3 linked regions of the Macaca mulatta genome follow. The protein of the gene in region 1 purifies or fractionates together with the protein of each later gene. This does not show direct contact. Links are inferred from orthologs where the notes say so. Each region holds a gene or a part of one and is shown in the gene's direction. Other genes may lie near its edges.

The links. The genes of interacting proteins can lie anywhere in the genome.
Region 2: the proteins of DCAF1 (region 1) and COPS7B purify together in Homo sapiens (affinity purification with mass spectrometry; 3 studies listed by BioGRID, with this or other methods). This does not show direct contact. The link is inferred for Macaca mulatta from reciprocal best matches to the Homo sapiens genes DCAF1 and COPS7B.
Region 3: the proteins of DCAF1 (region 1) and CEP78 purify together in Homo sapiens (affinity purification with western blotting; 3 studies listed by BioGRID, with this or other methods). This does not show direct contact. The link is inferred for Macaca mulatta from reciprocal best matches to the Homo sapiens genes DCAF1 and CEP78.

What each region holds. Positions count from the first base shown.
Region 1 is NC_133407.1:114,893,201-114,897,485, reverse strand, and holds part of DCAF1 (DDB1- and CUL4-associated factor 1), read left to right. Parts: intron 1-178; coding exon 179-1,442; intron 1,443-2,292; coding exon 2,293-2,491; intron 2,492-2,968; coding exon 2,969-3,051; intron 3,052-4,285. UniProt on the Homo sapiens protein: Acts both as a substrate recognition component of E3 ubiquitin-protein ligase complexes and as an atypical serine/threonine-protein kinase, playing key roles in various processes such as cell cycle, telomerase regulation and histone modification.
Region 2 is NC_133417.1:137,063,528-137,067,812, forward strand, and holds part of COPS7B (COP9 signalosome complex subunit 7b), read left to right. Parts: intron 1-403; coding exon 404-606; intron 607-2,854; coding exon 2,855-2,960; intron 2,961-4,285. UniProt on the Homo sapiens protein: Component of the COP9 signalosome complex (CSN), a complex involved in various cellular and developmental processes.
Region 3 is NC_133420.1:109,198,735-109,203,019, forward strand, and holds part of CEP78 (centrosomal protein of 78 kDa), read left to right. Parts: intron 1-38; coding exon 39-150; intron 151-3,196; coding exon 3,197-3,332; intron 3,333-4,285. UniProt on the Homo sapiens protein: Centriole wall protein that localizes to mature centrioles and regulates centriole and cilia biogenesis. Involved in centrosome duplication: required for efficient PLK4 centrosomal localization and PLK4-induced overduplication of centrioles.

The sequences.
Region 1 (4,285 bases):
ATTGTAGTAGAACTGATTGTACTTTATACAAACAATTCCTTGCAGTTTTTACAAAAATAATGTAGTTTTTTAAAGTAAAACAAAGTGAGTGGAACACCAAATTTTGACTCTGGAACAACTATTGAAATTGGTCATTAGTTTTATGATGAATAATACAGAATTTTTTTTTTCCCATTAGGTATCAGCATTATTTTGGGAGTGGCTGAGGGTGAGTTCTTCATCCATGATGCTGAAATTCAGAAGTCAGCACTTCAGATTATCATCAATTGTGTGTGTGGCCCAGATAACCGCATATCCAGTATTGGTAAATTTATCTCTGGTACTCCTCGGAGAAAGCTGCCTCAGAACCCCAAAAGCAGTGAGCACACCCTGGCCAAGATGTGGAATGTGGTTCAGTCCAACAACGGCATCAAGGTGCTCCTGTCCTTACTGTCCATTAAGATGCCCATCACAGATGCAGACCAGATCCGGGCACTGGCCTGCAAGGCCCTGGTGGGCCTGTCTCGCAGTAGCACTGTCCGGCAGATCATCAGTAAACTGCCCCTTTTCAGCAGCTGCCAGATCCAGCAGCTGATGAAGGAGCCTGTGCTGCAGGACAAGCGCAGTGACCATGTCAAGTTCTGCAAGTATGCTGCTGAACTCATTGAACGGGTGTCAGGAAAACCACTTCTCATTGGCACTGATGTTTCCCTAGCACGACTGCAGAAAGCAGATGTTGTTGCCCAGTCAAGGATCTCCTTCCCTGAGAAAGAGCTGCTTTTGTTGATACGAAACCATCTTATTTCTAAAGGGCTTGGAGAAACAGCAACCGTGCTGACAAAAGAGGCCGACCTGCCCATGACTGCTGCCTCCCATTCTTCTGCCTTTACCCCAGTCACTGCTGCTGCTTCTCCTGTCTCTCTACCCCGAACCCCTCGTATCGCTAATGGCATTGCAACTCGACTGGGCAGCCATGCTGCCGTGGGTGCCTCTGCCCCTTCTGCCCCCACTGCCCATCCTCAGCCACGGCCTCCCCAGGGTCCACTAGCTCTGCCCGGCCCATCTTATGCTGGCAACTCCCCTTTGATTGGTAGGATCAGTTTTATCAGAGAGAGGCCGTCACCCTGTAATGGCAGGAAAATCAGAGTGTTGCGGCAGAAGTCGGACCATGGCGCCTACAGCCAAAGCCCAGCCATAAAAAAGCAGCTGGACAGACATCTTCCTTCCCCACCTACGCTGGACAGTATAATCACAGAGTATCTTAGAGAACAACATGCTCGCTGCAAGAATCCAGTTGCCACTTGCCCACCTTTCTCCCTCTTTACTCCTCACCAATGTCCTGAGCCAAAACAGAGGCGGCAAGCGCCAATAAACTTTACCTCAAGGCTAAACCGCAGGGCATCATTTCCAAAGTATGGAGGGGTGGATGGCGGATGCTTTGATAGGCACCTTATCTTTAGCAGGTAAGAAGAAGGCCCCTTCTTACTCTCTGGGAATTGGAACGATTCTTTTATTTAAATCAAATTGGGCAGTATCAGCATAGTTGGCTTGAAATACCACTGATTGTCACTTTGTGTAATACTTGAACAATGTAATTGTATCACCTTTTGTCAACCATGGGCTCCTTGTGTGATTGTTGGCAGTATATTGATATAATCCTTTGTGTTCTCATCTCAACTAGTATGTTTTCTAGAACCCACACCCCCTCATTACTGTCCATAAGGAGGCTCCCAAACTTGTGCTGTTGCAAGTGGCTTCCTGTTCTGATTCTTGACAAATCTTACATAAAGGTTATGGGATCACAGGTTTTAAACATGGGAATTTTTTTTTTTGTTTGTTTGAGATGGAGTGTCTCTGTCGCCTAGGCTGGAGTACAGTGGTGCAATCTTGGCTCATTGCAACCTCTGCCTCCCAGGTTCAAGTGATTCTCCTGCCTCAGCCTCCTAAGTAGCTGGGATTACAGGCAGGCGCCACCACATCTAGCTAATTTTTGCATTTTTAGTAGAGATGGGGTTTTACCATTTTGACCAGGCTGGTCTTGAATTCCTGACCTCAACTGATCCCCCCACCTGTGCTAGGATTACAGTTGTGAGCCATTGCGTCTGGCCTAAACATGGGAATTTTTGTTATTTAAATTTGTAAGTGGAAATATTTTTCTTATTTAAAATAAAAAGCACTGAAGGTCACTGTGATTTTGGAAGAACCCATTTGAAACATTAATGTTCTGTGCTTTTTCTTCTGTCCTAGCAGTTTGCTTTTTCTGAGTCCCTGCACATTCTTTGCCTCTGATTCTCTCCTTTTTTTTGTGCTTAGATTCCGTCCTATTTCAGTGTTCCGGGAAGCCAATGAAGATGAGAGTGGCTTCACCTGCTGTGCATTCTCAGCTCGGGAGCGGTTCCTGATGCTTGGCACCTGCACAGGGCAGCTGAAGCTCTATAATGTGTTTAGTGGACAGGAGGAGGCCAGCTATAACTGTCACAACTCAGCCATCACACATCTTGAACCTTCCAGGGTAAGGGTTCCTTCCTAGGATGCTGTCAGTCATTCTTCCAAGATGAATTAGTGAACTAGAGTAAAGGAGGCTTACCCTTTATTGAGCTCTCTCTTTTAAATGAGTTCTCAACTGGAAAGTCTGGTTGAGGTTAACTCATATTTCAGATGGAGACTGAGGAATATGGCAAAGTTATTAGGAAGAAAGGAACTATCTTTGACATCGTCTCATTTTTCCCACCTCCCTTTTATCTGTTCTATTTTTGTGGCTAGTTCAGTAGGATTTAATACTCTCCTAAGTTTAGTTATTTTCTAGGACACTATAGGTATATGTATTCAAATCATAGTGGCTTCTGACCATTTCTTGGTTTCTGTGGGTTATAAAATTTTCTCTTTAATTCAACAACATTTTTATGCATATATTTAAAAATGCTAATGGCAGGTAGTGACATCTGCATGTATGTAAATGCACGGTTACCCACCTTGTGCCTTCTTTTAGGATGGGTCCTTGCTGCTGACATCTGCTACTTGGAGCCAGCCTTTGTCTGCACTTTGGGGAATGAAATCAGTATTTGATATGAAGTATGTATCTGCTTTTGGAACCTAGTCTGTGTTTTATTTACCTAGTTTGTTTAGACCCCCTTTCATTTGGTTTTTAGACGAAGCTTTTGGGGAAAGAGGATGCTGTCAGTTATTGTTAACTTCTCTCTTCCTCATCTAAGACTCATGTTTAATAAGACTTTATCTTTCTTAATTCCTAGATATTTTTATGAGGTATATACATTCTCATTATGCAGCAGACCCTGACCCAGAATCTATGTATTTTCCCGTGTTCACATAGGACATTGCCGTCTTTGCTGTGTCTCCTCTCCTCTCCTCCCCTCCCCTCCCCTCCCCTCCCCTCCCCTCCTCTCCTCTCCCCTCCTCTCCCCTCCTCTCTTTCCTCCTCTCCTCTCCTTTTCTCTCTCCTCTCGTCTCCTTTCCTTTTCTTTTTTTCCTTTTTTTTTTGTGAGACGGAGTCTCACTCTGTCACCCAGGCTGGAGTGCAGTGGCCTGATCTCAGCTCACTGCAAGCTCCGCCTCCTGGGTTCACATCATTCTCCTGCCTTAGCCTCCTGAGCAGCTGGGACTACAGGCGCCAGCCACCACGCCTGGCTAATTTTTTGTATTTTTAGTAGAGACAGCGTTTCACTATGCTAGCCAGGATGGTCTCGATTTCCTGACCTCGTTGATCTGCCCACCTCGGCCTCCCAAAGTGCTGGGATTACAGGCATGAGCCACTGTGCCCGGCTTTTTCTTTTCTTTCCTTCTTTCGACAGGGTCTCACTCTGTCACTTAGGTTGGAGTGCAGTGGCACAAGCATGACCTACTTCATCCTCTGCCTCCCAGGCTCAAGTGATCCTCCCACCTCAGCCTGCTGATTAGCTGGGACCACAGGCATGTGCCGCCATGCCTGGCTAATTTGCAATTTTGGTAGAGGTAGGGTTTTGACATGTTGCCCAGGGTGGTCTCGAACTCCTGAGCTCAGGCAGTCCACCTGCCTCAGCCTCCCAAAGTGCTGGGATTATAGGAGTGAGCTACCGTGGCTGGCCCCTTTGCTGCGTGTTTCAAAGGCACGTATGCCCTGTTTGTCATTTCTCTAAGGAATTCCCATTCATTATTTTGTATCTGCTTGGACAAGCTGATAGAAGAAATTTTCTTTGTAATCTAAGTGTATGATTGTTTCCTCTTTGGGAGTCCAGGATCTTTAGGTGAGTGTGATTGTGCAAGAGGCTGGGGGTCACCCATGTTTCAGTTGGTTGCAGGAATATGTCCT
Region 2 (4,285 bases), on another chromosome or scaffold:
TAGCCAGTTCTTTCCAGTGACTGGGATCTGCTGGAGATTTATGGTGATCTGACAAAGTCTGAAAGATTCCAGAAGGTGGCAGAGTGGCATATACTCAGTAGTTCCCTTTCTCTCCGCTGGTACAAGTTTTTAGGATCTCTGCAAGTATGCTGCAGCATGTGAAATCTGAAGGCTGGGGAAAGCCAAGGAGGCAGAGAACCAGGAGGTTGCTTTCTTAGATGTCGTTGGGTCTTCTAGGTCTCATGGTTCATTTATCCACCTCTTGTTGCCCTAGCTATTAATAATTACCACTAGTCTGCATTTCCCGAGCCTAGAGGCAGCTGTTGGCTATGTGAATAATACCTGCATTTTCGCGAATGCTTGCCAGATGGTTTTTATAATGATCACATGGCCTTATCTACAGTGTATCCCCTACTCCGTGTTGCTGAAAGACCTGGAAATGCGGAATCTTCGGGAACTAGAAGACCTCATCATTGAGGCTGTCTACACTGACATCATCCAGGGCAAGCTGGACCAGCGAAACCAGCTGCTGGAAGTGGATTTCTGCATTGGCCGTGACATCCGAAAGAAGGATATCAATAATATTGTCAAGACCCTGCATGAATGGTGAGGCTGAAAGGAGGAGGGAGATACCTAGCATGTCTTTTGTGCCTCTCCTTGCAAAAATGTGATTTCCTGGTGTCAGCTGAGGGTTTGGGGTGGGCCTGTGGCTACCTGGGAGCTGGGGCTTAGTGAGCCAGAGAGTGGGGCTACATTTGTGATCACAGCTGTGCAACAACAGGAGTCATTTCAGGCCTCCTGGTGCCTTGGTTGTGAAATAGTTCTTGCCTTAAATGCAACTGGGAGCTATTTAAAAGTGGGCTATAAAACGCCCAGGGTTAGCAGGTGGAGTCTGTGTGTCCTAGCTGTGTGAGGCTAGTCCTGCCCTTTCCAAACTCACACTCAGGTTTGACCAAACTCAGGAAGGCTAGTGTTTGTAAAATTCTTTGTTTTTATTATTATTTTTTCTATCCCTGTTGAAGTTAACATGTTTATAAGATTCTTTGGATAAAAGAACTTATGTTCAAAATCAATAACATATTGGGCTAATGTTTGTGAAACACCATGAGGGACATGGAAGACAAGGAGTAGGTCATTTTAACTTGGAATACAACTCATACAAAGAATATTTGATAACTATATTCTGGTATATAAAAAGCATTGGGACATTTGCGTTTTCTCTGTTTTAATGGAATTTGATATTTACAAGAGCTGTCACACGTTCTATGAGGATTTACTGTGGAATGATTTAAATTATTTGGGGCTTATAAAGTCAGATGAACTGATTGGAGAAGTTTTAGCTCAGTTTTGAAGGAGTACCAGGGTTAGAGTATACCTGGAGGTGAGGAGAGTGTGTTCCCAGGCATGCACATGGCATGTTGGGAGCTGTGAAGCAGAGCCAGCGAGCTTCATGCACAGGTTTGGGAGAGAGAGAATCTCTGCTTATCCCCGAGGAAGCATATCCAGAGAGGAGCAGTGCCACTTTGACTCCTTGGGGCCTGATGCCCCCTGAGTTTCCCTCACTTCAGCTACTCTTACACCCCAGGACATGTGTTGCTCACTCCTCACCCCAATTTCTGTCTCAAGTGTAGCCCCAAACACCTCTGTACAACATCTGACACAAGCGGAAGTTTTCAATAGGTTACAAAACTTAGGATAAATAAGAAATAAACTTAGAAATACCCCAACACGAAAATGGTCTGGCACACGAAATCTAGTTTCTGAACCTGCCAAAAAATTGGCTGTCCTATTCTGTTTTTGACATGGCTGACACAGCTTTTTATGTCCATAGTCTGGTTTCCTGTTTTTAAGCCCCCAAAATGTTTGACATGGAGGTGCCAGACTAACTGGTTACCACAGGATGTTTACTAGTAGAGACTCTTACAACTCATGTTTAGGCGCTGGAGGTAGATTGAAACAAAATTGATAGGCTGAGGGGTACCACATATATGGCAAAATGCTCATACTGTTGGATCTTAAGTGGAGGGAATGGGGATATTCATTGTAGTCTTTCAACTTTTTCGTTTTTAAAAAAATTAATAGTGGAGAAGATAAAATAGGGTTATGGCAATTAGGAAGCAACTTAAACTTCTGAGAAAAGGAGGAAACTTCAAAACAGGATGCTTTTAGAAAATCTTTTTTTTCTGTTGAGAAAACTGTTGAGAAAAGGACTACTCAGTGCCATCTATAAAATCTATTCTACCTTTTTTTTTTTTTTTTGAGATGGCGTTTCACTCTGTCACTCAGGCCGGAGTGTGGTAGTGGTGTGGTCTTGGCTCACTGCAACCTCTGCCTCCCGGGTTCAAGCGATTTTCCCGCCTCAGCCTCCCAAGTAGCTGGGATTACAGGCGCCTGCCACCACACCTGGCTGATTTTTGTATTTTTAGTAGAGATGGGGCTTCACTGTGTTGGCCAGGCTGGTCTTGAACTCCTGACCTGGTGATCCACTCCCCCGCCTCCGCTGGCCTCCCAAAGTGCTGGGATTACAGGTGGGAGCCACTACCCCCGGCCTGTCCTACCTTCTTTAATTGTATGTGCTACACAACCATCTTCCATGAGATACACAGTTGAGAATTAAAGCTGTATTCTAAGAAACTAGCCCCAGACTACCATATTTGTCTCCTAATGTCCTGCATTATGTATTTAGAAGTACTTGTCTTTGGGCGCGTGTGAATGGGCAAGAGATGTGGCAGAGGGAGTATTAAAGGAGGTCCCTGTAAGATACTGGGGAGAGCTATTGGGGAGGAAGATTTCGGAGCCTGGAAGAGACTTCCCAGGCCATTCTGCAGCTCAGGGCTGGTGTTCTCCGTTGTAGGTGTGATGGCTGTGAAGCAGTTCTGCTGGGCATCGAGCAGCAAGTTCTGAGAGCCAACCAGTACAAAGAGAACCATAACCGAACTCAGCAGCAGGTAGAAGCAGAGGTAAGGAAGGAAAGGAACGTTTGTTTCTCTCTCCAGGGCATACCTGTTTATTCCTTTGCAGTGTTTATGTTTTTGTTTTGCGAGTCTTGTTGTAGATGAAACGAGCAGTCACCAACAAATGGGCCTGGGTTAGGTGCTGGGGTACAGGGATGAGTGTGACACGGCTCCTACTCTTGGTGTTCTCTGTTTTTTCCGATTCCTGGTCAGCATAGGGTGATCGATCAGGCTTTGAGAACAGAGAATGTTGTAGTTTCAGTACACATGTACTTTGCAGCTGTAGAGCAAAAGAAAATGAGTTTGGGGCTGGATCTTAAAAATGGATAGAAGGATGGTGATAAGTTACCAGGTAGAGTGGAGGGAGGGGTACAGCTGGGCAGGGGCATGTGGGGCTTCAAGGCCCTGGGAATGTTCTGCTTCTTAAGTTGCGTGGTGGGCACCTAGTTTCATTTTATTCTTTTTGTCTGAACTGTACATATATATTATAAATGTGTAAAATGCGTGACATATTTCATATGGAAAGAAGAAAGGGATAAAATTTGGCAGATGAGCTGCAAGTGAAGTTAAAAGGATGTAAGTGTGGTTTTATGACACCTGGCTGTTGAGGAAACTTTTAGCTTCTTGGACAGATGTAGGCCCCAGCCTTTGCGTTATGGGCATTTGTGTACGTGTAACCTGACACATGAAGTGACCTCACTTCAGAATTTATTTGGAGCCCTGAAGATCAGAAGCACTGATTTTCCGTAGCATTGGAAGTTCTTTTCTAGGGTGGATGGGGTTTGAAGTATTAATGATGCTTAATGAATTTTGAAAATCAGGTGTCTAAGAGTATGGCAGAGTGGGACCCGAAATTGCAGCTAAGAAGCATAAGAGATGAGTAGATGTGCCTTTCAAAGGGGGATTTGTGAAATTTGGAGTGATTCCCTGTACTGTTATATGCACTTCTTGAAAATAAAACCTGTATCCTATTTGTAAGGCGAGCTTCTGGTCCCATGCCTAACCCATAGTAGGTACTCAGATGTTCAACTGACTATTTCTGGCACACCATGAAAGTGTGTCAGTGGACTGCTGCACTCTGCTTTTCATGAACTTGAGCTAATTTTTTTGAATACACACACACACCACCCTATATACGTATACTCTGTGGATGTTCAATTCATAGACCATGTTTAATCCTACTGGCCAAGGAAGTATGAGGCTGGGTGTAGTAACTCACACCTGTAATCCCAACACTTTGAGAGACCGAGGAGGAAGGATTGCTTGAGTCCAGGAGTTCGAGACCAGCCTGGGCAAGGAAGTATGAACTACATTTAACAGCCCAAAGCAAA
Region 3 (4,285 bases), on another chromosome or scaffold:
CTGTAACTGAAATGTAGTGTTTATTCTCTCTCTTTTAGTACCAGTGGATAACTTCTCCATCAGTGAAGGAACCATCCAAAACTGCTAAACAGAAAAAGAGAACTATAATTCTAGGAAGTGGTCACAAAGGAAAAGCTACTATTAGAATTGGTAACCTTTTTGGTCTTGGCTTTTTAATGCTACTAGTGTTCTAGTGTGTTAAAATCAAAATCTCTTCTCATTTATGATATTGACGGTAACAACCAATTTTGACTCTGTGCAGATTATTAGGACTATAATTATTCTGATTATGAGAATTTATGGAATGTAGAAATAGTAAATGAATCATTAGGAAAGGGATGCTAGTGCTTCCATTTTAAAAATTACCCTTATTTGTTTTTCATACAACATTGATGATTTTAGATATGTTTTCTGATTGATGATTACTTCTGATACTTTGCAGTTGAAATTTGGGATGCACTTTGATGACAGTTTTAGCAGCAGTGCGTTTGTATGATTTTGTTGTTGTTGTTAATGAAAAATTATCCTTTCATACTATAGAAAACAAAATCTCTTCCCAGTTCCCTTTTTTCCCTTTGTTTCCTCCTCCTTCCTTGCAAATTCTTACCCAAAGTTGTTGAATCAGGTAGCACCTTGCTTCTTTCAATGATGAAAAAACCTTAAATTGTATGTAATCCTTATAAAACAATACTGCAGGTAAGTTTATTACCCAGAGATGGAACATTTTAGACAAACATTCCATAAATGTTTGCTATTTATAGTTTATTTAATCTGCCAAGTAACAGTCTAGAATTTTGAAATTGTCTATAATTTTGTGACAAAGAGTAATGAAAGAAAACTTTATAAACTCTTTATCAACTAATGACATAAATTTCACATTCTCCTGAATATATAAATTTGGTATAATCTAGTTCTACTGATATTTTCGTTTTGTTTTTAAAGAGTCTTTAACTTTTATTTTCTAGAACACATTATCTTTAGTCATAAGTAGCCTTTTTTTACTGATAAGAATGAGTGACAGTGGAATAAGTTAAGCCAAATCTAATATGAAAGTGACCTTTTCTTGTAAGTAACTTTGAATTTTGAAACAGTAAAACCATGAAGACTAATACAGAGGAAACAAAATAATTTTTTTATGTTTATAATCTGCCAGTTTCCCAGAAAAAGGTTTGTGGTGACTTTAGTTACATACCCTGTACATTACGATCACCAAACAATTAATACCAGATAATCTTTTATTTGGATGCTACTTGAAATTTTTAAAAGCTATCACTTGACAATATCACTGAACTGTATGCTTAAAAATGGCTAAGATATAAAACAATTTAACATAAAATATAAAACATTGGAAATACTATAATTTTAGTAGCTAGTGGTATATAATTGGACATCATTGAATGAGAATTCAAAAAATCTTTTTTCTTAGCATGATTAAAGAAATTGGAAATGTAACTGAAGTTTACAAGCTCACTGAGCTATTTTAAGAGTAACTTTATTTCTTGGGCTTTTTTTGTATTTGCCTCAGTTATTTGGAGACACAGAGGTAAGCCAAATCAGTGTCTGGCTGTATATTTAATAGGTGTCAGTGAGTATAGGGGTTATATAATTTATGTAAATTATGTTACATTCATATTGCAATTACGTGTGCAGACAGAAGATAGGAAACTTCCACTATAATTCTTTTCATCATCTAACAAGATAAGTAAATTAGTTTGGTTTTAACTAAAATTTCTGTTTGTGGCTGGGCACGGTGGCTCACGCCTGTAATCCCAGCACTTTAGGAGGCCGAGGCGGGTGGATTGCCTAAACTCAGGAGTTGGAGACCAGCCTGGGCAACTTCACTAAAATACAAAAAATTAGCTGAGTGTGGCGGTGTGCACCTGTAATCCCAGCTTCTCGGGAGGCTGAGGCAGAAGAACTGCTTGAACCTGGGAGGTGGAGGTTGCAGTGAGCCAAGATTGTGCCACTACACTCTAGCCTGGGCGACAGAGTGAGACTCCTCCAAAAAAAAAAAATTATATTTGCATTACTTTCTACACACACCACAAACAATACACAGGAACTTTTTTTTGGGATAATTATATTAATAACAGCATACAATGAACTGAGCTCCTATATATTTTAAGAGGTATATAAATTTGTCCAGAGAAATGGCACAACATGATGTGGTGATTATCAATAAGCTACACTATGGGAAATATTTGTCCTGTATTACCACATACACGTTCTTGTAGATGCTGTCCTAAAGCTGCTAAAGTAGATCTTACATAGTAAAATAGATTGGAAGGATAAATATAACCATTTTAATAAACTTGTATTATTTGTTCTCAGCGATATCAGAAACATATATTTAAATGTGAATTTTAATATATAATTTGTTTTAAATAAAATATTAATAGGTCTAGCTTTTGCTACCAAATGTTTCATAAAAAGATACTTGACTCTTTAATACTGAAATGTAGGATAAGACTTTATGCTTCATTCTTTTATCCAATAGGTTTCATGTGTTTGTTTTGTATTCTATAAAAGCAAATGAACACTGAAGGTGGACAGACATACAGGCGGCAACATTGACTCACCTACTACCCAGCTACCTTCAGTCTTACAACTTGGATAGTTTTTACATTATAAAATTAGTCCAGCTACCTTCACTCTTATAACTTGGATAATTTTTCCATGATAAAATTAATCTCACATTGAAATTTTGGTCCAATTCAGAAGGTTCTGTTTGGTAGGAGTCATGGGTATATCTATGTTCTGTCCTTGAGATTCAGGAATGCCAAAAATATTCTGAGATTTAATAACAATATTTCTGCATAATGCATAATGAAATGTATCACATATAATCTTTCATTCTTTGGGTTACATGTTTTATTTACTTTTTCATGCTCTGCATGTCTCATATATTAAAGTTATATTTTAGTTAAAGTGATAACTTGTTACTCTAGACAACTTATATTTTTAATTTTTATATATTTATTACATTTTTAACTTATATTTAAATATATTAAAATATATTTATTCTTATATTTATTAGTGGCCTATGTAAAAAGATACTTACAAATTGATCCTGATTTAATGGCCTTGGTGTCATTGTCAGGTGCCCATTGGTATTCTTTTAAGAGTATGCACATGTGCTAATTAATCTGTAGACCTTTAGTGCATCTTAATTCTTTCTTTTTAACACTTTCTCAAGTAGGATTGGCTACAAAGAAACCTGTAAGTAGTGGCAGAAAACACTCCCTTGGTAAAGAATATGCGCCTGCACCTCTACCACCTGGTGTGTCTGGTTTCTTGCCATGGCGTACTGCAGAACGTGCAAAAAGGCACAGGTAGGGTATTTTTATTTTCTATCTTTTAGGATAAAAATGGGATTCAAAATTCTTTATTTTGGAGCTTCTATTATGTGAGAGTTCTCTGCTTATGTCTATAGGGTAAAAATGACTCATGTGGCTTCTGCCTCATGAATCCTTTAAGGAAGAAAAACAAAAAATAATCTTAAGTAGGGTTTCAAGTTATTAAGTGTCACAGCAAGCTGTATCCTTGTGGGAGTCCAGAGGAAACTGAAATTATCTCCAGTTGTGCAGGTGAGGAAAGGTTTCATTTAAAGCATGTGCAGTTAAACCAAGTCCTATAGGACAGAAGTAGGAATTTGGATATTTAAGATTGGGGAAAGGGCATTGTAAAGCATAGGAGAGTGTTGATTCGACTTAATCTAACTTAGCCAACTGGCCTAACTCATTTTAGTGAATCATATTTAGTGAATCAAACCAGATATAACTAGTTTTAGCCAGTTACCTAGAGGGTAGCTATTCATAGTAATTTTTGTCAGAAGAATGTTTTTAAAATGTTGTACTATAATTTTATGCTTAATAAATGAATTAGATTACTATAAATTGTTTTCAAATGACTTTTAGTATTCAAGAAATTGGAGATTAACAATTGCTTAAGAAGACAGAGAACTGATTTTAAATAGGACTGGAGATAGGTGCTATGTGAAATATCTGTTCAGTTGCTCAGATTAAATTGAATATGTATAATCTTTATTAGGCAACTGATGACTATACTTATTTTACAACTGGTAATGTGAATTATTATTGCATAAACTGTAGTGCTGAGGCCCTGGTCTTTACACTTACATTTAATAACTGCAGTTTCATGTCTTCTTGAGATACTTACTCATTTCAAGTCCCATCTTGGTCACAAGGAGTTGTGAATTAGAGAGCAATTAATATCACCAGTTAAAGAAGTTAAATTGGAAATCTGAACCATCCTGAACATAAGA